Linked DNA regions of Sus scrofa. The protein of the gene in region 5 interacts with the protein of the main gene of each other region in a biochemical or structural test. Links are inferred from orthologs where the notes say so. Each region holds a gene or a part of one and is shown on either strand. Other genes may lie near its edges.

Region 1 (4,334 bases), on a different chromosome or scaffold from region 5:
CTCTGAGAAGAACAGGTTGAGACCAGGGATGGCGTTTGATTTCACATAAGTTTGAGATGCCTACCATATGATGTAAGTGGAGACATCAAAGAGGCAGCTGACTGTATAAGCCTGCAACATGGCTAAGAGGTCCAGACAGGAGCTAAAAGAATGAGTCATCAACAGAGAGATGGTATTTAATGCCAGGAGACTGGAAGAGATTGCTATGGGAGTGAGTGGAGATTCAGCTCAAATACGAAGCCCTGGCACACTCTAACTTTTAGCGAGCGGATGAGGAAGGACCACCGAGGAGGTACAGCCAGTGAGCTAGGTTGGAAACCAGGCCCTGTTCTCCAGACTGCGTGAGAAGAAACTATTTCAAGGAGTGAAGAATGATCAACAATGTCAAATGCTGCCAACTGGTCAAGTAAGGAAAGGCTTGAGAACTGATTAAGAATTGAGTCAAAGAGAACAAGAGAAGAATCTGAGACACAGTATTTGTTCAATAAATCCTCGCATGCTACCCTGGCCAGGCACTGTTCTAAACACTGGAAGTACAGCAGTAAACCCAATGTCCCAAACCCTCATCCTGATGGAATTTACATAGACAAACCCTCAAGAAATACTGCCATAAATGGGACAGTTGCTGCAAAGAGCTTTGTAGTTGCAAGGTTTTTAGGAATGAAAAAAAAAAAAAATCACAGTATATTTTCATGCTTCTGGGTTTGATCCAGTGGAAAAGAGAAAGACAAGGTGATGGAATGATATCCTTAAAAAGGCAAAAGGGCATAAGGTGTGCTGCACACACGGGGCGTTCCCCTTGCATAAGAGCAGGGACACATGGGTTACGTAGCGGGAAGGGGGTGGCAGAGTATATGGTAGGTACACGGGACCATGTGGAAATTCTCTTCCGGTTACATCTATATTTTTAGGAAAATAGGATATAGTTATTAACTGAGAGTAAGGATGGAGATGGAGGCTTTCAAGGATAAAAAGAGAAGGGAATGTATAAAATAGGAGGTTTCTATAAGAAGGGTGCAGAGGAATAGAGTCGGGAAATGTAGAGGTATCGCCAGGCAACACAGAGCTTAATTGACAGTTGTGAATTTAAAGTGAGCTCAGTCAGCGTAGGTGTAACTGCCAATTCGTAAGAGGTTTTCAACTTCAAGTTTAAAGAAGTAAACACCACTAAGCACATTAAGTTTGTTAAAACCACCTTTACTCTGTTTTTTCCAACGCTTGAAACATTACTTTGGGTATTTTTCTCTCACTAATCAGATGTCACCAAAACAGATGACTTGAATAGTCTGTAGATGAGGAGAGGCTTCTGATCTGGTCTCCATCATGAATTTCTTTTCTTTTTTGGTCTTTTTTAAACCTCTCAAATTTGCTCACATATAAAATGGAAAGAACACCTGCCCACCTATGTCACTGTATGGTTGCCAATGTCATTCCACTACATATGTACACTACAGACTTAAGGCATGGTTATGAGAAGCTTTGTCTAATAACAGACTTAGATTTTTTTTGTTTAATCTCAAAATTCATTCTTAAGGATCCAAACTCCTCTTTTACATTATAAGTCTCTGAATTTGTTTACAATCAGTTAAAGGAAGTATCTCTGATCCGTTAAGTGCAAGCAACTAATGTCAGATGGCCCATGAGCTGTTTGCCCAACTGTCCTTAGTCAGTCCTGGAGAGAAGTCTACTTTCAAAGCACGCATTTTGAAGTAATCTAGGATAGGCTGATCCAATCCTGATTCTACACCATCACCAATGAACTTAAAAGTTACCCAGGATGCCTCAGGCACAGCCGAGATCAGTGTGGATACCGCTCCAATCTGTGGGAACCCCAGTTCCACAGTTTATTTTGGAGCATTCTCATTTCCTTTTAGCCCAGAACTTAAATGACTTTACGCATACTTACTCTAAACAGTTCCTAGGTTTCTTTCCTTGATATCGGAAAAATAACAGAAAAGTATTCAATATTTCTAGCTAGAAAAAGGACCCAAGAAAGAAATCTTTAATAAATCAAGGTCCCTCTAGTCCAGATTCCAGGGTTGAAATACTCAGGGGACGTCTGTAGGTAAAACTGCCAGAGAAACCCACCTCTCACCATGACATGAGAGCCCTTCTCAACAGGTAACCGTCCCAGCTCTTCTCAGTCGTTACCTGGCCACAGGTCCTCCTGTATTGCCCATTCTCGGTTAGCACCCCTAGTACTGTTCTTTGTGGTGGATCCTGGCTGAGCTGGGCTCTGGACATCATCTGACAGGCATCAGGACCTCCGGACACTGGAGCCAGCACTCTCCCGCTCTTGGAGCTACTGAGATGCATAGCCTCAGTCTCCACAGGCTACTGCTATCAGGGAAGGAGAAACAGACATGCTGGTTAGTCAACCTCTTCCAGCACGGGCTCCAGAATGCAGCAAATCCCCAGAAGAGAGAGCACTGAAACATATGATCTTCACTGCAGTTATTAGGGTTGAAAAGGCCTGAGCCACGGTGCAAGCGATCAAAGCTACTTTGAACCAAAACAGGGATTTGAATCTCTCCAGGCTTTCTTCCCAAACCAGGCTGACGGCTGGAAGGAGGAAGGCAGACCTCCACGGCCGGACACTAAGCCCCAGGTTAATTGGGAGTCCAAACCTACAGGTCTATGTCTTTTCCGGCTATGAGACTTATCCATCACCCCACCATCCCTCTGCCTGCAGTCGACCCAGGATACATCACTGTGGGAAAATATATCCCCTTCCCAAGTGACAAGAAGCGTGCTCTTCCGCGGCCCTCCTCCCGCAAGACATAAGACCCCAAAACCTGCTTGAAGCCCACAGCGGGCCTCGCTCGTCTCAGCTTTATGTCTTTATATATGTCTCGAACAATTGGCAAGTGCACACCAGGATTGGGAATGAGGGGCAGCCTAAGGGGGCGGGGGCGGGGCGGGGCGAGGCGGAAGGGGACCGAGGTGTTAATAGATTCCAGCCTTGGCGCCGGGATCTCAGCCTGGGCTGCCAGCTCCTCAGCTCTAATTATTTTCAACTCCCCCGCCCCCCGCGTCTGTTGAATCGGCCAATCAGCGGCGCTCTCGGGCCTCACGGGGGGGCCGTTTCCATGCCAACCGCGGCCGGCGTGCGCGATCCGGGTCGCATCGCTATGGCGACCTCCTCACCTGACACGCTCGGGGCGGACGCACCGCGACCCCTGGGCGTTCAGGGCTGGGAGGGACCAACCGGCAGCCGCCCCGGGCTCTTCCTGCGCTGCCCTGCCCGGGCGTGCCCGGGCGAGCGGGTCGCCGCGGGCACCCGCGCCCTTTCTGGCTGGCCTCCCGGGTCTGGCAGGGAGGAAGAAGGCCCACCCCGCGATGGCCAGGGTTTGGAAGGGACTGTTTCCTTGAACCCGTTCTCCCAACAGCCACTAACTCCTCCCGCCAACGTCTTTTCCTCGGCCCGCTCCTGAGAACCTTGGCTCGGGAGAGCGACGCGGGGCCCTCGGGGCTGCGCAGGCCGTGGCGCCTTGACCGCGCCCGCCCCAGAGCGCGGCTAGATCCCCTTCGCTGGCCCACACACCTACACCTTCTCCCAGAGAGAGGCCACATAGCTGCGGGTTGGCCCCTGGTTTGGGCTGGGGCTTCCTAATCCGTGGTGGCGGCGTGTCCTCGCTCATTTTGAGTCCTTGCGCACCAGAGGTTGCTCCTGGTCGGCCCGGGTTCTGGTGCATTTGGCCCGGCAGGGTGGGAGAGGAGATCTGGGGTTTTAGGGTCGCACGTGGTGCGGACAGTCCCCACGAGAGGTCTTCCCTGGCGGGTTCCGGCAGTCACGGCCTGAGGCGGGTCCAGGAACGCCGAGATAGTGGCCCAGGAAGAGGAAGGAACGCGGGTGGCAGCGATGGGGCTTGGGACGTTGAGGGAGAACGTAATGAGGCTCGGAACTGGGTTCGGGGCAGGTGGCCTCGCCACGTGGGGAGGAAAATCCTTGGATGGGGGTCCACCCGCAGAAGTTAACTGGCAAGGCAGGTAAAAGAGTCTTTAACGTTGTGATTTTTTGGAAAATATTTGTGTGCACATGTGTGTGTATCTGTGTGCACACACATATACACATTGCATATAAAACGTTGCTGCTTTTGTCTGCTTTTATTTTTTTAAATGCTCATCCCTAAGCAGACCACCAAAACCATTTAAATGAGCATTTTAAGAAATGATTAGCTGATCAGTTATCAAAGTTCCCCTCGTGGTGCAGCGGAAAGGAATCCGACTAGGAACCAGGAAATTGCGGTTTGATCCCTGGCCTCCGCTCTTTGGGTTAAGGATCCAGCGTTGCCATGAGCTGCTGGTGTAGATGGAAGACGGGGCTTGAATCT
Region 2 (4,419 bases), on a different chromosome or scaffold from region 5:
AAGTCAAGAGGGACAGCTTTGCTTCAACCTCAGTTAAAAATTTCAATTCGAAACACAGCTGGGAAGGTAATCTTGAATTTCACAAAGAAGACATCCATAAACATCAACTTGCTTGGTCTGCAGTCTCTCTCTCTTTTTGCTTTTTAGGGCTGCACTCGTGGCATATGGAAGTTCCCAGGCTAGGGGTCGAATTGGAGCTACAGCCGCCGGCCTACACCACAGCCACAGCCACATCAGATCCGACCTGCATCTTCGACCTGCACCACAGCTCACGGCAATGCTGGATCCTTAACCCACTGAGCGAGGCCAGGGATCGAACCTGCATCCTCATGGATACTAGCTAGTCAGATTTATTTCCACTGCACCATGATGGGAACTCCCTGGTCTGAAGTCTTTCAGGAGAGAAAGAAGAAAAAAGAACTTGGAAGGCACTACCTTATTCCCTTTCCTAAAGTGAAGTACTTCTTCTAACACAGCAGGGAAATCAAGAATCCCTTGTTCAACACTCAGTAGAACCTCCCCAGAAATACTAATTACTAGGGTCCTGTGTGCAGTAACAACTGTTTTGCAAACAATGCAGCCCACGGCCTTGAAGCTCCTTACTCTTCCAGACCCAGCACTATGGCTGTTGTTCACTGCCCTACAAAGTGGAGTGCTGTCACTGCTAATGTCATGGGGACCACTATCCTTGGCTCAACCCTAATATTCCTGCTCAGTTTTTATCTGTTATTGCATTAGAAAGCCTGATCAGCTAGTCTGGAGATAGGCTGCTTCCCCTACTGGAGCCATAACTACATTCTCCAGCCATTTCTGGAGGTAGAGAGATAATACAAGCCTTTTCTGCTAGGAACTTCTGATATTATGACGATACCATGAGCATGCAAGAAATATGGCGGGAAGTCCACAAAGGAAGGGCAAGAGAAAAGGACCAGCCAATTTAAAAAGTGTGCTTGAGAGGTGCATTATCCTTACAGGGAATGTCCCACCAATGCTCTGGTGGAGGCCAGGTCAGGTACCAGACAGCAGGGATCACTACAGGTAATTGCTGGATGAGCTGGAAGAACGTTCAGAAAGGGGAAAAAAAGTCTGAAACATGACCCAACGGGGGTGGGAACAGGGAAGGGCAATTCCTAAGCACCATGACGAGAAAACACAAGTGTGGATGAGGGAGAAGGTGCTTCGGAGCACACGCAAACCACCATCATCACAGTGACCCAGAGTTCTGTGTCAGGAGCCTTCCCTGCAGTTCACCAGCCTGCAGACTAGGCTGAAGCACAGACTCCGCCCCTGGCTTGCACAGGACTCTGGGTTACTTTCTTCCTCTAACCGAGTCTCAGTTTCCTCAAGGGCAAAAGGAGAGGACTGAGTTATGTGATGTCCATTCTGGTTCTTCCAGACATGGGCGCATATTTGTCATCTCAGGGATGTCAGACAGGAACATACACCTTCCTGGAATCCCAAGGCTGGCAGCGGTCAGTGCCCACTGACGGGCACCGTCATATGGCCATAGTCAGAGAACAAGCCTTCAGCAGGAGCCAGCCAAGGGAATAAGAGACTACATTTGACCCCCCAAAAGGAAAGCCTCCATTTAGGCCCAATCAGTAAGTGTACCTACCTGATTGCCACACTGGCTTCTCACAGTTCTGTCAATTTTGGCCACATCTTCATCTGGATCTTGCAAAAACTGACGTAAAACAACCCCCACAACCCAAGGAAACACACCACACAGTCCAAAGACAAAAACACACACATAGAGAAGAAAAAGACAGTAGGTTAGGTTATGTGAGCACCATTTCTGCCAAACGCATTCCCCCGTGACCCCCTATCAATAAATAGGTGGGCAGAACCCAGGTATGATGAGAAGGGGGGAATCCTCCCCCACCTGTCTCCTTTGTACTCACAACGGCCACATTTGCCTTCCTTTTCCTGGAGCGAACAGAGACATCAGTGCCACTTTCCTCTTTCATAGTGTCAGGTTCCTTCGCATCCCTGCAAAGCCAGGGGGGGCACAGAGGTGAGGGTGAGTTCTCCCCAAATCTCGGCCCACCCCTCCCCCACCACTGCACACCTTTCCCTCTACCGCAGCGGCCAGGCCACTCACCTTTCCTTCTTCTCCCTCGGCATGGCGCTGGGCACAAGTTCAGACCTCAGGCCTGGGGGCACGAAAAGGCAGTGGGCTGAGGACCGGCGGCGGAGGGGGCCAGGGCCCCGCCGGCCCGTCCCTGGTACCCCTCCCCCTCCCGCGCGGGCGGCGGCGGCGGCGGGAGCCTCCCGGGCCGGTCGGGAAAATGGCCGATGGGCCCGGGGTGGCCTGTCACCCGCGGCGGCGCCAGCGACCGGCGATGCCGGGTCGGAACCCGGGGTGGGGGGGCCCTCGACGCCCCCCGAAACCCTCGCCGGCCCATCGCCTCCCTCGGGGCCCAGGCTGCCTCAGTCTTCCCCTCAACACCTCCCTGTAGCCTGTCTCTGAGCCGCCCTACCGGGGCACCCCGCGCTGACGCCTCTGGGGACCCGGCGACCCGATCTCGCCCCACCCCCACCCCCACCCCGGCCCGGCCCGGCCCGGCCCGGCCCGACCCGGGCGCTCCGGGAGTCCTTGCCCGCCGCGCCGTCCGGCAGCCCGCGGCGGGGTCCTTACCCGAAGCCGTCTCCGCGGCAGGCAGGCAGGCGGCACGAGCCGAGGCCGGACGCAGGAGGCAGGGGCGAGCGGGAAGCCGGGAGGCGGGAGGCGGCGGCGGGCCGAGCGCGCGGCGGTGGCGGGATCCGCGCCTGCCCCCTACACCGCGCTGGCGGCCGAGCCGGCTGCTCCTGCGCCCGGCTAAGAGCGGGACATTTAAAAATCCCAGCGCGCGGAACCGGCCCCCGGCCCGCCCTCGCGCCCTCCCGCCACCCTCCGCCCCGCCCCGGCCGGCTCGGAGCCCCTCAGCAGCCGCCCGAGGGCCCGGGCCCGCCCCGCCACCGCCCTCAGGACCGCCCCGCGCGGCGCAGGCCCGCCCAGGCGCTCGGCACCTCCGGGGGCGGGGCCAGCGAAGGGCGGGGCTAAGTGACAGGGCCTGCGCGCCGGAGGGGCGGGGCCCGGGGGCCGTGGCGGGGCCTGCGCGGCCTGAGCTGCGGAGCCCGCGCGGGGCGGGACGCGGGGGCCGGCCGGCGCGCGCGAGGGGGCGGGGACGCGCCGGCCGGCCGGCCGCGAGGGAGGTCTGGCGCGAGCGCGCGGAGGGGCGGGTCGCGGGGCTCCGGGGGCGGAGCCGAGCGGCGCCGGAGCGGCAAAAAGCCGCGTGGCCCGCGCGGGTGGAATGTAAACACCGCGGGCGACGAGGGTTCGGGCCCCGGCGGGGGTCGGGCCAGAAGACTCCGCATCCATCGGCCTGCCGCGCGCGCGCGCGCGCACTGTCGCTCCTTGCACGTCCTCCCCGCCCCCGAGAGACGCAGGGTTCCGGGCCCTGAGTTGGGGCGGGGATGTGCCCAAGGTCACAGCGCCTGGTCACAGGGCCTAGAACCAGGGCCTTAGGCCGCTAGGTCTGGGTACCCCTGTAGAACAGCTGTTACTCCTAGTCGCGTGTCAGCCCAACTGGCCATTCATGCGTGATTCTTTGCATGCATTCATTCAGCTAATATTCGAGCACCCTCCACGTGTGCCTCTTCCCCACAGATTCATCCCTGGCAGAAGCCCTTTCTGATGCTGGAATTCCACGCAGTTCTCTCCAGCGATAAAGTGTTTTGGCCCTTAAAGTCAAATCCACGCTCCCTGCCTTCCAGGGCTCCGCATGGAGTGGCCTTCGCCCCCCTCAGCCCTCCCCTTCAACCCCCTTCCCTGACGGCTCCCCTGATCACCCTCTGTCCTTTCTCATCTCAGGGCCTTGGAGTTTGTTGTTCCCAGCTCTGGCCCCTTGGGGCCGCTTGTCCTTCCGGAGAACGTCAATGACCACTGATTTAATCTAGAGCACCCCTCTCCCCAGGAGTTCCTGTCTACCCCATTGCCCTGCTGTGGTTCCTTCACAGCACTTGCCACCATTAAGTCTCTTGCTCCTTTCTGTGTTTGGTGCTCCTTTCCCTACTTTGCCTGTCCAGGTCTTGGCATAGTGCCTGGAGGAAGGGAGGCCCTTAAATCTTATTTGTGAAGGAATGCTTGAAAAACACAATCACCAAGCCCTTGTGGAGTTTATAGGCTATGGAGAGAGGTAGTACTGAACAATCGTGACTTGAAAGCACTACTGTATTAAGCCTCTAGAATAAGCATGTGGCAGAGAGCTCCTAAACACTCCTAAGGCCCTTCCTGATGTAGTCTCAGTCTTGGGCCCCCTCCTTCCGTGACTATCTTAAAATTAGAGCCTGGGTCTTACTGGTGGGCATGACTGTGTCATCCTCAGAGTTGCCAATTAGCAGATCGTTGAACTTCCTGGGGCTCTGAGGTCAAGGCCG
Region 3 (3,686 bases), on a different chromosome or scaffold from region 5:
TTTACTATCTGCTGGGCATAGACCTGAGCATCCACCTGAGCATCCACATTTATGGTTTTTTTTTTTCTTTTTCACCGAAACACTGAGACAGGTTCTCTCCTAGTCTCGTTTTACAGACAAGGAGACAAACTTAGCGTTTGGCCTTAGGTCCATCTGTCTCCTCACTCCCAAGCCCATAATCACATGCCAGACTGATTCAGTGCAGGGAACCCAAACGGGAGGTCCTGAGAACGTGGCAGAGAGTGATCCACTCAGTGTGTTAGGACCAGAGCATCAGTGAGGCTGCCATCCCTGACACATTCCCACAGCCTGGTGTCTGCCAAACCCTGCCCCAGCCAGCCCTGCCCAGGGCCTCCCACCTTCTCCAGGATGTCCTTGGACTCCCTAGTGATCCAGCGGGGATAATACGGTGAGTCCACACGGATGGACTCGAAGAGTTCGTCCTCATCATCACCGTGGAAGGGGGACTGACCGATGAGCATTTCATAGAGAAGGACTCCGAAGGACCACCAGTCCACAGAGAATGAGTACTTCAGGCCCTGTAGGATCTGGGGCAGAGGGGGTGTCAGAGTTGGGGGGCCCAGAGCACGAGCCCCAGCTGGCCTCTTCAGTGTCCCAGCTGTGGCTTGGACGTTGCTGCCCCCACCCTGTGGAGATAAGGTGTGGGACGGGGCTGGGGGGAGAGGGTGCCGCCCACCTCTGGGGCGATGTAGTCAGGAGTGCCGCAGAAGGTGCTGGCCTGTTTGTCCCCCAGCATGTTCTCCTTGCACATGCCGAAGTCAGCAATCTTGATGTGGCCATCCCGGTCCAGCATCACGTTGTCCAGCTTGAGGTCCCTGAGGGGAGGGGACAGGAAAGGGGGTCATCAGAGACCAGTTCCCATCCTCCCTGCAGCCTCCTCCCATGTCCCCACTGTCAGCCCTGCAAACCTAGGACCTTATCGCCCCATGGGGACAAGGGGATGAGGAAGAGAAAAGGAAACAGGTACTAAAAACAGGTGCTTCCTGTGAACCGCCTACTGTGGGGAAACACTCTGAAGCCCAAAATGAGGCTCAGAGATGTGATGTGTCACTGGCCCAGGGTCACCCATGTGGTCAGCTGGGGAAGTGTCTGGGCTCAGGTTTGTCTAATCCACAGAGGCAGGGGGCCGGTCTATTTTACGTAGTTAGTTGTTTCAGTGGATAACTTAGGCACATGGTAACAGGTACCAGAAAAGACAAACAGCCCAAGGCCCATCTTCCACCAACCTCACTCACCAGGCCCTCCTGAGAGAGTCCAGGTACGGACAGCACATTACAATGTGTGTCTCACACCACCTTTTAAAGCCTGAACCCTAATATCCAATACACACCATCCCATGGATTGGTTCTCCACTTGACAATACACCTTGGCATCATCAACCACCAGTACACATGTCGGCCTCGGCCTTTTTGATGGGTACATATTAATCCACAGCAGGATGGGACTGTGGTTTATGGGGTGAGAACTTAAGGAAACAGTCCCTATCTGTGGATGCTCAGAATGTTCGGATGGGGCTTTAGACAGGGACCAACAGCTCCAAGGGAGGGAGACACAATATACCAGTCAGTATGGGCCAAAGCCATAGGGTATGGGCAAGGAATTCCCAGTCCATGGGGTTGTGCCAGCCTCAGCTAAGGGGCCGCAAGGAATTCTAGCAATGGAGTAGGTGGCTTAGGCAAATACCCAACTAAAGACTGACTGCAAGCAGAGATGGGGCCATATCTGGACTGGGCCCCACTCAGAGCATTTCAGAGGACATGAAGGGGTGGGGGGGCTCCCCTCCTAAACACCCCCCACTTCCAACCCCCACACCTGTAAATGATCCCTTTCTGGTGTAGAAACTGTAGCCCACAGATTATCTCAGCCGCATAAAACCTGGATGAGAGAGAGACACACACGTGTTCTGAGATTTCTGTGAGCAGCCACTGCTTCTCCCTGGGTCCTTGTCCCCACCCCCCAGGGCAGGAAATGCTGCAAATAATTGCACGGACAACCTAGGCTTGATCAAGTACATCTTGTATCAGGCAAGTAGGGACTGGCAGCCAAGGCAGGAAAGAAAATTATGAAGAGAAAAGCTCCAAATGAGACAGCTGTCTGTCCTGCGAGCGTATGAATTTATAAAGCTATGCATATGTGCATATGCACACAGTTTAGAGGTGCATGGTAGTCTGGGGGCCACACCCCAGGGTCCTGCATCGTGCAGGATCACCATCTGAGAGGCTGCGCCGGCTTCGGCCCAATGTGGGGACTGGACCTGCACGGCAAGGGCTGTGTTCCCAGCCACAGCTTACCCACCACCCTTGGCTTCCCACAAGGAGGGAGGAAAAGGCCCTGGCCACCCCAAATCTCTCCAACTCCAGCCCTAGTGCAGGCTAGCTTCTCCAGGGGGAGGGAAGAAGGAATGGAAGGCAGACAGTTCTTCTCCCCACAGGGCCTGGCGTACGTGGCACGGTAGAGCTCGAAACGGCCTTTGTCCTGGATGTGGTACATCAGGTCCCCCCCGTTGAGGAACTCCATCACGAAGAACAGGTGGTCCTGCGGGGGGAGCATGGTGAGTGGAGGCACAGAAACTGGCCGGATGCTCCCTCACTGAGGGCCACAGGGGGCAAGCCCCAGAGGGAGCAAGGCACAACTCTGTCCTGGGCAGAATGAGGAGAGGGACACAGCCCTGCCTCAAAGTGGTCTGAGAAGGAAGCCTGGGCCCTGCCTTGATATGTCTCAGTGGGAGACAAGGCCCTGACCTGAGCCGCTCAAGGGGGCTGTGTTCCAGGGGCAATGACCCTGGGATGGACGGGTACCTTGGTCTGGAAGGTGCAAAAGAGGTGGGTGAGAAAGGGATTCTCCCCGGCGAGCGCCAGCACCCGCTTCTCTACCATGGTGCACTCCACGTCATCATCGATCAGAACCACGTCCTTCTTGAGGGCCTTGATGGCGAAGAATTCCTTCTTGCCCTTCAGCTCTGCAAGCAGCACCTGACGGATGGGCAGGGGCACTGAGCAGGGGAGGGCCAGGCCCGCACACCTCACCTAACCAGGAGCAGCCAGGGAGGGTGGGAGGCAGGTGCTCCTGGACTCCTGGGCCAGGGTCCCTTGGGCTGCCTGCCCCAGGGATGTGGGGCCCCTCACCTTCCCGAAGCTGCCTTTGCCCAGGACCTTGATGAAGATGAAGTTGTCAATGCTGCACTTGGTGCTGCTCTCCCAGATCTTGCCATAGGTCCCAGTGCCTGCTGGAGATGGCGACTGAGTCTCAGGTTTCTGCCCTGGGACCCAAGAAGGGGGTCTCCCCTGCTGTGTCCCTTCCCCACGGGGTGGGCCTCCTCTCAGTTCTCCCTGGACTGTGCAGGGAAACTGGGACGCGTGCCACATCAGAAGCAGGGGCTTTCCTGGAAGGTGTGGGCACAGCTTCACCTGAGACATCATCTCCAGAGACTCCTGGCTTCTTCTCGAAATTCTGATAGATCCCAACCGTCTCTGCAACCTCCGACTCTGACTTTCGGACAGGTCTCTGGAAGAGGGGGTAGAGGGTCAGACCATGGTCAGAACCCCCAGCCCAGACAGAGGACCCCACCCAACCATCCTTAACTCCACCTTCAATACCAATGGGGACAACAAGAGCAGAGTCTGGGACTCACGGGTGGTGCAAATGTGCGCACACACACACACACA
Region 4 (3,686 bases), on a different chromosome or scaffold from region 5:
TAGAGATAGACTTATACAAGAACTGTAAACAACTATCACAAATAGGAGGGGGATTAAAATATTTTCTTACTTGACTGCAGCAAATACGTTATCACCATTTGGAACAATTACACAATTTTTCTTTGCTTCATTTGTACCAACAAACACAGGAAGTTCATCAGGAGAATCCCTGTTTAAGCAAAAGATATTAAAAATTTAGCTGCCCATACTTTTCATTATCAGAAAAGTAGAATTTTATCTCTATAAACAATTTATATCTGCATGTTTCAAAAAACTGCCAATGAATGTGCCAGGGATAAGTTCTTAGTTTCTTACAAATATCACCCTTCCTTGCAAAAAAAGGAGTTCCCTTGTGGTGCAAAAGGTTAAGGATTCAGTATTGTCACTGCTGTGGCATGGAGTCAGTCTCTGACCCAGTAACTTCTACATGCTGAGGGTGCAGCAAAAACAAAAAAAAACAAAAAACAAAAACTATGACAAATCTTATTTACAGAACAAAACTCCAAATTAAGATCCTTAGTACCTAGTTACTTCTATACCTAAATACAAAGAAAGGGGGAATAAAGTCTATCAAAAAAAGAAGGTGTAATTATACATGATCATATTTACCCTTGGTCTACAGTCTGTGGAAAAGAATAAAGAAGGTGGAAAATGAAGAAAGAGGACAGAAAGGATTATAAAACCCTGGCAGTGAAAGGATCCAACTCATGTATCTATTAATCAAATGGTTTACCACTGAGGAAACCAATACAGAGATACCAAGTGACTCAGACAAGGTAACGGTTAAGCCAGAAGCAGATCCATGCACCCCCACTCCCAGCCCTGCATGTGCCCACAGCACCCTGACACCCCCAGGCACATTTGCCCAAGTCCTGATCCCCTCATCTCTGTCAAGACCGCACCTCCACAAGTGGATAAGGAACCCCCCACCACTTCTATTTCTAACATCTTAAGCATCTTGCATTTATCCTAATATTCCTATTAGGTAGGTATAATTAGAGGAAGAGAGGAAACAGAGTCACAAAGTCACAGGAACTAAGGACTGGCACAGGATCACCCAGGTAATGAATAGCAAGACCAGTCTGACTCCAAAGCACATCCTAGTTCTAGGATGCCTGGAAGCACGTGGCTAACTTAAGTCACACCAACTGCTCTGAATCATCTTCCTTGAGCTAAAAAAGCTCATCTGAACCTGAAAAGAAAAGAATATTTACAACCACAGAGGAAAAGCTGGTGAGGTTAGGCCTAATGAGTTCACCCATCCCCAGGTAGGTTAGCAGGTTAGAGAGGCAGGCAGCCCATGTACCCACCCCAGGGGAAAGCGTGCCTTCACCTTGAATGAAGCCGGCGAGCATCTACTTGCAGCGTTAGAGGCACAGCAGCTGTACTTTAGAGACCCTTTACCTGAAATAGCCCATGTGGAATTGGGTTTTACTGTCTCCGATGATAATGGTCTGGAACTCTGGAGGATCATAGTAGAATCGCCAGTGAAGGTTACAATTCAGGCTAGCTGACCTTTTCTTCATTTTATGTTTCCCGGCAAGGATATCATAAGGACCCACTAATCGAAGTCCAAGGCTTAGAGAAAGTGAATCTATAAATTAAGTAAGTTTATTTAGACAGTAGCTTTCAGGAGGCAGCTAAGAAATCATGACTTTCATTTGGAAAATACTTGTAAGCAACTAACTGTCTTAAAAAGGAGTTTCTAAAGTAAAAACTTTAGTTACATGTGAAAATGTTGTAAATACTTAATGGAAAAGAAACCAGAGCAATGAAGAAGTGGCATTTACATGTAGGATTTCCTCTTAACTCTACCACTGATTACATTTCAAACATTCCTGCTGTTTCTCATTTTGGCCAAAACAAGGCTATTTTGCGTTCCTGTGGGTATATCAGAGCTGCAAAGGCTCACCTCGTCTCCTTACTATGTTGCTGTCGGTCTCCAACATCCAGATGAAGGGAGAAGCACATCATTTCACCCCCTTCCTCTCCCTCAGCTGCTTATCAATTTTGACAACCTGGGGGCTCACCCCAGCCCCAGACGAGTCCCTTCACCACTCAAAAGTCTGGCTGTTCAATACAACCAGAGTCACAAGGTCTGTTCACCTGGACACTTGCACAACATCAGGCAGGCCCTATGCTCTCTGAGAGGGAGGTGAGCACTGCAGGCAGGCAGGTGAGCATGGAGAGAGGAAGAAAATTCTTGGGAGAGGTAACCATGTGAAAATAGGCCTGGAGACGTTCTATTTGGAGGGGAAATAATTCAGCTCAGCTGGAGCTTAGGCTAGCATATGCTAATTTTTACAGTAACAAAAAACCTAAAACCACCCATCTCACTAGCCATAAATTACTAAGTTGACAGCCTGGTATATGGTAGTAACACATTTCCCTCCCCCTCCCCCCAAAAGAGGTATTTTAAAGGGAGACCATGCTGTTCTGCAGTCTGATTTGTGGTTCTCCATCCTGTCCTAAAATCTAAATATTTTCCGATAGTATGAAATGTTCCTTTACTATGTCTATTCTACTGTTAATAGGCATTTATTGTTTCTTATCTTCTTCTAAACAACGCTTCAGTGAGCATCTTTGCTAATACATGTTTGTACACATCCACGAATACCTTTAGAAAACTTTTGCTGCACAGGTGAAGCATTTTGATACACTTCCAAAATTCAGTTACCCACCAATACACACTTCTGTCCATAGTACCTGGGGGTGATTCTCCCACCTCAGCTAAAAATTTATACAGTATGAAAGGGTAACAGCGAAAAGTATCTGTTAAACATTATTAGCTTTTTGTCTATCTTTTCAGAGATAATACAGGCACATAGGAAGTATACAGGGGGGTGTGGGTGTGTGTGTGTCCAACTTAAAAATACCAATGGTAGCATATGCTATACACTTTATTCACTTAAAACATTCCAGGAATGATCCTTTGTCATTTCCTCAAAGTCTGCCTCATTCTTTTAAAACTATAAATGTCCACTGAACAGATGTGTAAACAATGAGCATTTAAGCCATTTTCTATTTTTTTGTTCGAATGTCATTAAACATATTTTTGGTCACCTAATCCATAAGTTCCTAGAAGCAGCACTAAGTCCTACAAACTCCTGCAACACAGTAAATTATGTACCCATTTTCCTTCAAATTGTCATGGAAGCATGTTGTGATATACCTTTACTAGTTTAACAGGTGACAGTGACATTATTACAGCATTATTTTATATTTCTCTTATTCAAAACATGTTTGGAAAAGTTCCTTTTCCATGAGCTGTTTAGCCCCTTGGTCCAGTCTGCTGTCTTTTCCATTGGCAGAAGCAGGAGAAACATTCTGGAACAACTCACCAGCTGGCTTTTCAGGATCGAGTTCTTCACAGAACTTCCAGAAGTGATAGAAATCTTCTGGCAGAGAAAGCCTGTAATGACTTTCTACTTCTTTTCGAAGATCGGTGGGGATGTCAGCCTCACAGGACTTACTCTTCTTCACATCCACTGGCTTTTCACACTGAAAATTGGCACACAAAACTCTGTTTCTCCAAAAGTAATTGCAGTAACTTTGCTTAACAACATTGCTCATTTTTGTTCACCTGCATCTGTGAGAGACATGCTTTTTCTCTAAAACTCTATAAATGGTATGACTGAGTAAAATCTGGGGATTGTTTGGAGTAAGGAAAAAAAAGCAAAGAACAC
Region 5 (2,658 bases):
GTCCTGCCCAACATCCAGGCGGTGCTGCTGCCCAAGAAGACCGAGAGCCACCACAAGGCCAAGGGCAAGTAAGGTTTCCGTAGCAAAGCCTTCTAAACCAAAGGCTCTTTTCAGAGCCACCTACTTTTTCTGTGGAAGAGCTGGCTCGTGTCAATCCAATTGTCACTGTTACCGGTGGTTTGCGGAAGTTGAGCCAAGAGCCATCTTAAAATCGGGAACTTCTCCCTCCCCCTTGTGGCTCAACGAACCCAAAAACAAATAGTACACACGAGAGATGCGTGTTGGGTTGGATCCCTGGTGCACCCCGGTTTTTGAGCTTGGGGCTTAAGGATCCCGCGTTCGTGTGACCTTTGGCTTTTAGGACACTCATACGGATCAGATCTCGCGCGGCGGCGCCCGAAGTGGCGGGTGTGGGCGTAGTTATTGTTTTTTGAATCAGGGACCTATCAGAACACGGCGCGGGCTTTTTAAAGTTTCAGCCATGTTATTACATCCTTCGTATTTTGTAAACTTTCTCGGAGGAAGAAAGTTGAATGCCTGAACCAAAGTAAGAATATAAGAGGACAGTTGATATTTAGTGCACAGCTGTTTTCAGAGGTCTCTGGGTGGCTCTGAAAAGAGCCTTTGGGGGTTTGCTACCTCGAGCGCCAACTTCCTACTTCTTCTTGGGAGCCGCCTTCTTGGCCTTTGCAGCTTTGGGTTTTGCTGCCTTAGGCTTTGCGGCTTTGGGCTTGGCGGCCTTAGGCTTCACAGCCTTGGGCTTAGCGGGGCTCTTGGCAGCCTTTTTCGGCTTGGCGGCGGCCTTCGCCTTCTTAGGGCTCTTGGCCACCTTTTTGACGCCAGCAGCCGCGGGTTTCTTGGCCTTCTTGGGCGTCTTCTTCACAGCTTTCTTGGCCCCCGCAGCCTTCTTTGGCTTCTTAGGGGTGGACCCGGCAGGCTTCTTTGCCTTAGCGGCCCCAGCCTTCTTCGTTTTGGGCTTGGCTTCCCCAGTGGCTGCCTTCTTATTGAGCTTAAAGGAGCCAGAAGCACCGGTGCCCTTGGTCTGCACCAGGGTGCCCTTGCTCACCAGGCTCTTGAGACCCAGCTTGATGCGGCTGTTGTTCTTCTCCACATCGTAGCCTCCCGCTGCCAGCGCCTTCTTGAGCGCAGCCAAAGAGAGGCCATTGCGCTCTTTGGAGGCGGCCACGGCCTTAGTGATCAGCTCAGAAACTGGGGGGCCAGTTGCCTTCCGCTTGGCCGCCCCTCCGCTCGCAGGCTTCTTTGTTGCCTTCTTCTTAGCAGGGGATTTCTCCACCGGCGCCGGGGCAGCCGTCTCAGCAGGAGCGGTTTCCGACATGGCGATGGGAGAAACTGCCAGAGGAAGTAGGATTCAAGATCCGAAGAGCAAGTTTTGCAATGCTGCCTTGCTGGGGCCTGGGGCTTATATAAGCCGGTGCTGCCCTGTGATTGGTGGAGCGTCCAATCCACCGCCCTAGGGCAGCCGCCTCTCGTGGTTGGACTTCCAAACTGTGTTTGTTAGTCCCCCAAATTTGATTAAATGCTAAAAAAAATCGTACAGAATTTTATCCTTTGAAACTCCAAAGGAGGAAAATAGCCTCCAGGTTCACATACTTGTTTGTGTTTTAATGAATTACGCGCAACTGATGAAAGATATTTTAAAAAATCCCTTCAGCTTTTCATAGGAATCCACCGGGCTCAAGGCATCGAGCTAGTTAGTTGGATGTTACAGTAAATTCCTAATAAGTATCAAGCGAATGTTTTTAAAAAGGATTTGTCCCTAAATTCGGCCTTTGATTCTTGCAGTAGGAAAGACACTAGGTTCCTTGGTTTTGCCATAAACTTGGTTTCCAACTGCAGGAAGTAACACAGGCGCAGGGTGGCTGGTTACATACAGCCCCAAATTAACCATATACATCTTTCTTTAAAAACCGGTTTTGCCTCTCAAGGAGTTTCCACATGCCCATGTCTTCAGAGACGTAATAGTACTGTTGCCAGAGTGACTTCTTCCAGGAGGAATAGAATTTGCTTTGGCTTCAGGATGGAATGAACTGCATTCAAATTCAAACAAATTTAGTATGTTTTTGACTGAGATGCCTTTTCTCCTTGGCAAATCCATTAAAGTATGAACAAAAATTGCTTAGCCTAGATAATGTATTTTTAAAAAAAACTCTGATACCTGATAAAAATTATTCAAGGGTTTCCAGGAGCCCTCAAAACCTCAAACTGTTTTAGATGGCATGGGATTTTGTCTATCTTTCAAGGCGCTTTTCCCAGTGCTCTCACTCAAACTCCTTAACTCCATCTACATTTAACAAATTTCCATGGTCAGGAACATTCTCTTTTGTAGGACATCAGTGTGGGAATTTTTATGTATTTAAGATAGACCTATATGCTTCAGTGAAATAATTGCCTACTATGAGAAGTATGGGTTGAGCATTAAGGGACTGGAGGTTATAGAAGTTTAGAAGAAATTAGGAAAACATTAACATTCAAGAAAACTGAGGCAATGACCAAAAGTTTGAAGGGACAGTGAATTTTTCTATTTACTGAGGAGAGGTGCGAGATATGGACAGGATTTTGAGCTTGGTTGTGATGTTTAGGATACCTAATGCAACCAGCAGTTGGTTCTTCCCTTTGAAAAACGGAGAACCAACACAC
Region 6 (4,186 bases), on a different chromosome or scaffold from region 5:
TAATCCAAGTGAATATGTTAATCCTTAGTCTTTATTTCAAATTATGGACTGTTTCCCACTGCCCAAAAGAACACAAGTTCTGTTCTGACTACTAAGGATTAACTGACTTGTTATCACAAACCATTTTCCTCAAGCTCCAGTTACCCTGTGGTCCAAACATTGACTGAGCACTTTCTTCAAATCAAGCCCTGTGCTAGACACTGGCTTTATGATGTCCTCAAGAAGCTTTGAATTTAGAAAAAGTAAATGGGAGTTCCCGTCGAGGCTCAGTGGTTAACGAATCTGACTAGGAACCATGAGGTTGAGGGTTCGATCCCTGCCCTTGCTCAGTGGGTTAACGATCCGGTGTTGCTGTGAGCTGTGGTGTAGGTTGCAGATGCGGCTCAGATCCAGCGTTGCTGTGGCCCTGGTGTAGGCCAGTGGCTTCAGCTCCGATTAGACCCCTAGCCTGGGAACTTCCATATGCCGCGGGAGTGGCCCAAGAAATGGCAAAAAGACAAAAGACAAAAAACAAAAAACAAAACAAAGAAGTAAATGAAGTAAAGAGACTGATTCTGGGAACAAGAGTAGGGTGGGGGAAGTTAAGATGGGGATGGGGGAAGTTAAAGAAAGCTTTGGGTGTTGATGCTTGAGCTGTTATGAAGGATGAAAAGGTTATCAGTTACATGAAAGAGGGTGGGAAAAGTATTCTTGTAAGTGGGGAAGCAAAGGTTAGAATCACTATGGGACTTTTAAATGAAAGCTCAGGTCATGAGGTATGGTCAATTAAAGAGTGGGGGAAAAAAAAAAGGAACAAATGAAAACCACAAAAAAAATCCCATAAAACAAAGACTGTGCATGCTACAGTTTTCTGTGCTGTGTCCAGAAGGTCAATATTAAATCCACAGCCTCAGTCACATCCCCTTCCCTTAGACATACAATGAGGCTGAATGACTTTAACAGACCATTTCCCAACCAGCTTTAAGGAGATATTAAAAATTAGTACTTAAGAATGCAATTCATTGCAATTTCAGCCAAGCAGCCTCTTCTAGATGAAATATTTTTCCCTCACAGAAGAAGATACATTTAATATCTGATATTTAATAAAAAGTTCTTGGTGTTGAGGCCAAGTGTTAAGCCATCTTCTTACCCTGCTCTCTGAAGAGCTACATTTTCTGCTTTACACATTTATATATTTCGGTGTTGGCTTATTATTATTTGGTGGCCACATTAGGGAGTAAACAAAAAGGACTTAAAGAGAACAATCTGTGCTTCAGTCAACATATTCTGGTCAGAGATGACTGGTACCTTAAAGACAGCAAAATCTTTGGTCCCTGCAGCTACCACTCAATACCGTAAACAAAGGAGGGGTAGTAAAACAAAGCAATTAAAAGCACAGTTTCTGAAGCCAGATAGGCTGGGTTTGAACCCAATTCTGTCATTGACTAGATGTGACTAGAAGAATACCAGTGCTGAGTATACTATTAACGTGAGCTAATGCATGTACAGTGCTTAGCAGAACCTACTTCCTGTTAAGTACTATATAAATGTTACTATTACTACTATTTGTTCAAATGCTATTCCATACTTGAATAAAATGAAAGGAAACAAACAATCAACAGACTCTAAAATGGTCCAGAAAGTTTACCAAAATAGGTTCAGGGGAAAGTTTCTCTCCTTTAACAGGCTCAGGTTCTGGTTCAGGCTCCAGTTCAGGCTCGGGCTCCCTCTCTGGCTGGGGCTCTAATACAGGTACAGGAGCCTTTTCCAGAGGTTTCGGTAGTTTTTTAGCAACAACTTTTCCAGCAGCTAAAGTTTTTGCTTCCTGTGGATGAAAAGGAGAGAATGGATTGTTTCTCCACCAAGAGCCACAGCTGGAAGGGAGACACTCACAGAATAGTTGAATCAGCATAGTTACCTTTTTCAGAGGCAGTTTGGCCTGTGGCTGTTCACTGACTTTGTTACCGATGTCTCCAAGAGCAGTTCTTGGCCTCAGTCCGGGCTTAGAGGTTGCAGCAGAGGCCACAGGCACGCGCTTTGCGCCTGCCATACTGATCTTCGCCTTATTTTCAGCATTAATTTTCGTGTTCTGTAAGAAGCAAGACGAGTCTGGGAGTTGGCCCCGCCACGTTAAAATAAGTCAAGGGTTAAAGCGGGGCAAAAAAAAAAAACAACAAAAAAAACTGCGGCCCTCAGAAGGAAAGCCGACTGTGAATGGGTTCCCAGGGGAAACCGGGGTTCCAGGGTCTACGCTAAGCTTATGACAAGTCAGTTTTCTCCTGGAACCTCTCCGTTCACCTATTGAGGGATTACGTGCTCAGTCCCCGCCGGACCTAAAATACCATGGAAATCGAAAAAGCCTTCAATTGCAGGCACCTTCCCTTTCCCTCAGGGAAGAAGATTGCGCAATTGGTGGGAGCCCACTCGGGTCCTCCAACACCTTTTACAAAAGGTTTCCGGTCTACCCTCCATCTGCCCCCTCCCCCCAATTAGTCCAAGGCCCATCCGCTTCTCTTTTGCACCTTTCTCTCTCCGTCCGTCTGCCCCCCAAACTCTCCCAGTATGTTAGGGGCCCACCGACCGCCTTCCTCCTCTCCAAATTCGCTCCCACCGTGGGGGAACTCCAGCAGGGGAAACAGGGAGAGGAGACCCAGGAGTCAGGAGAGCCGCGTTTGTTCACCAACCGCAGCAGCTCACCCTGGTGATCCGGAGCGCCATGACTTCCTCTGTACCAGGCCAGGCAGCAGCTCAGAGGGGAGAAGCAGAGCACTGGAGCCCCGACCAGCCGGGGACCTTGAAGCCACCACTAGCTAACAGCCGTTCCTCCGCAGCACGCCGGGAGGAATCCGGCCCCGCCTCGGGTTTAAACCCCGCACCGCTCCCTCCTTATTGGCCTGTTCGTGGCACTCGCTCACTTCCCATTGGCGGCGGCCAGTTCCTCCGAAAATGCGTTTCCAAGGCGATCCCGCGAAGAAGTTCGGGCGGGGGCGGGGCCAGGCCGTCACGTGGTCTGACTCGGCGCCTGCGCCCTGGGGCAGCCGCTACTGCCACCTGATGAAGGGAGGGTTCTCTTTGCCCCACACCTGGAGCAGTGAACTTGTAAGCGACTAAAGTTAGCTGAGACAAGTCACAGCGGCCTTGGGAAAGGAAGAGTGGAGCTCCTTGTTTGACGTGAGGGGCAGTTATGGCTTTAGTCCTACTTGTTAAACACACTTTCCTCTCCTAGAGTGGCTTGTAGCAGGAAATACTTTTATATATACATTCTTTTTTCGTTTGTTCATTCCAACAGCACTCTGGGATAAAAAGGAGGCTCCGAGATGCTTTGGGTGACTCCCAGGATCACAAATTAGTAACACGGGATTGAACTTCACTTTCTTTGGATCCATGAGGTTTCCACACACTAATTGTCTCTTAATTTTGCAAGCCAGGCTGCCTCTTAACCTGCCAGATTACTTCAATCAAGTTGTTTCCCAAAGCCAATCTTTTTCTTTTAGTTTTTTACTTGAAAATAATTTCAAACTTACAAAAGTTTCAGACAAAAATGTAACAAGGAACACACATAGAGCCTTTATCCAGATTCAAATATCCTTAACATTTTTACCCCATTTGTTTTATGGTTTACTTAATCTTATATATAGATCTATGTATAACTGTATATAAATTTTTTTTCTTGGAAATACCTGTTGTGGCTCAGCAGTAACAAACCTGACTGGTATCCATGAGGATTCAGTTTCCATCCCTGACCTTGCTCAGTTGCCCTGAGCTCTGGTGTGGGCTGCAGATGTGACTTTGATTCAACCCCTAGCCTGGGAACTTACATATGCTGCACGTGCGGCCCTTAAAAAAACAAACAAACAAACAAACAAAAAACCACTTAAATATTTGAGGGTAAGTTATATATATCATGGCTCCTTATCTGTTAAATTTTTAGTGTGTATTTCCTAAGGAAAAAAGCATATTCTCTTAATGTAATCACAATAGAATTAGCAACTGCGTAAATTTACTATAACATTTTATTCAATCTAGTTTGTATTCTAATTTTGTCGCTTGAGCAGTTTCTAGCACTTTCTTTCCTCCAGTACAAGATCCAGCTAGGGTCAGTGTTGCATGTAGCCTCCTTTAGTCTGGAACAGTTCCCACAGCTTTCCTTTGTCTTTGTTTTTTTTTTTTTTTTTTTTTTTGTTTTTTGAACACTGATGGTTTTGAA

Evidence for each region.
Region 1: of the proteins of histone H1.5 (region 5) and CCNA1, one has a biochemical effect on the other in vitro, tested with the Homo sapiens proteins (2 studies listed by BioGRID). The link is inferred for Sus scrofa from reciprocal best matches to the Homo sapiens genes H1-5 and CCNA1.
Region 2: of the proteins of histone H1.5 (region 5) and CCNE1, one has a biochemical effect on the other in vitro, tested with the Homo sapiens proteins (4 studies listed by BioGRID). The link is inferred for Sus scrofa from reciprocal best matches to the Homo sapiens genes H1-5 and CCNE1.
Region 3: of the proteins of histone H1.5 (region 5) and PRKCD, one has a biochemical effect on the other in vitro, tested with the Homo sapiens proteins (2 studies listed by BioGRID). The link is inferred for Sus scrofa from reciprocal best matches to the Homo sapiens genes H1-5 and PRKCD.
Region 4: the proteins of histone H1.5 (region 5) and histone PARylation factor 1 form a complex in vitro, tested with the Homo sapiens proteins (2 studies listed by BioGRID). The link is inferred for Sus scrofa from reciprocal best matches to the Homo sapiens genes H1-5 and HPF1.
Region 6: of the proteins of histone H1.5 (region 5) and CCNB1, one has a biochemical effect on the other in vitro, tested with the Homo sapiens proteins (2 studies listed by BioGRID). The link is inferred for Sus scrofa from reciprocal best matches to the Homo sapiens genes H1-5 and CCNB1.

Annotation. Positions count from the first base shown.
Region 1 is NC_010453.5:12,394,787-12,399,120, reverse strand, and holds the start of CCNA1 (cyclin-A1), read right to left. Parts: upstream 2,973-4,334; 5' UTR 2,796-2,972; exon of another isoform or gene 2,632-2,795; intron 2,341-2,631; 5' UTR 2,317-2,340; coding exon 2,152-2,316; intron 1-2,151. UniProt on the Homo sapiens protein: May be involved in the control of the cell cycle at the G1/S (start) and G2/M (mitosis) transitions. May primarily function in the control of the germline meiotic cell cycle and additionally in the control of mitotic cell cycle in some somatic cells.
Region 2 is NC_010448.4:39,918,015-39,922,433, reverse strand, and holds the start of CCNE1 (G1/S-specific cyclin-E1), read right to left. Parts: upstream 2,894-4,419; 5' UTR 2,639-2,893; intron 2,154-2,638; 5' UTR 2,125-2,153; coding exon 2,102-2,124; intron 1,990-2,101; coding exon 1,902-1,989; intron 1,685-1,901; coding exon 1,616-1,684; intron 1-1,615. UniProt on the Homo sapiens protein: Essential for the control of the cell cycle at the G1/S (start) transition.
Region 3 is NC_010455.5:35,313,561-35,317,246, reverse strand, and holds part of PRKCD (protein kinase C delta type), read right to left. Parts: intron 3,526-3,686; coding exon 3,429-3,525; intron 3,248-3,428; coding exon of another isoform or gene 3,245-3,247; coding exon 3,147-3,244; intron 2,994-3,146; coding exon 2,820-2,993; intron 2,557-2,819; coding exon 2,465-2,556; intron 1,897-2,464; coding exon 1,834-1,896; intron 837-1,833; coding exon 698-836; intron 549-697; coding exon 360-548; intron 1-359.
Region 4 is NC_010456.5:20,017,188-20,020,873, reverse strand, and holds part of histone PARylation factor 1, read right to left. Parts: intron 3,502-3,686; coding exon 3,342-3,501; intron 1,595-3,341; coding exon 1,405-1,594; intron 170-1,404; coding exon 71-169; intron 1-70. UniProt on the Homo sapiens protein: Cofactor for serine ADP-ribosylation that confers serine specificity on PARP1 and PARP2 and plays a key role in DNA damage response.
Region 5 is NC_010449.5:21,621,261-21,623,918, forward strand, and holds histone H1.5, read right to left. Parts: upstream 1,387-2,658; 5' UTR 1,337-1,386; coding exon 656-1,336; 3' UTR 603-655; downstream 1-602. UniProt on the Homo sapiens protein: Histone H1 protein binds to linker DNA between nucleosomes forming the macromolecular structure known as the chromatin fiber. Histones H1 are necessary for the condensation of nucleosome chains into higher-order structured fibers.
Region 6 is NC_010458.4:47,336,882-47,341,067, reverse strand, and holds the start of CCNB1 (G2/mitotic-specific cyclin-B1), read right to left. Parts: upstream 2,830-4,186; 5' UTR 2,698-2,829; coding exon 2,677-2,697; intron 2,069-2,676; coding exon 1,898-2,068; intron 1,805-1,897; coding exon 1,628-1,804; intron 1-1,627. UniProt on the Homo sapiens protein: Essential for the control of the cell cycle at the G2/M (mitosis) transition.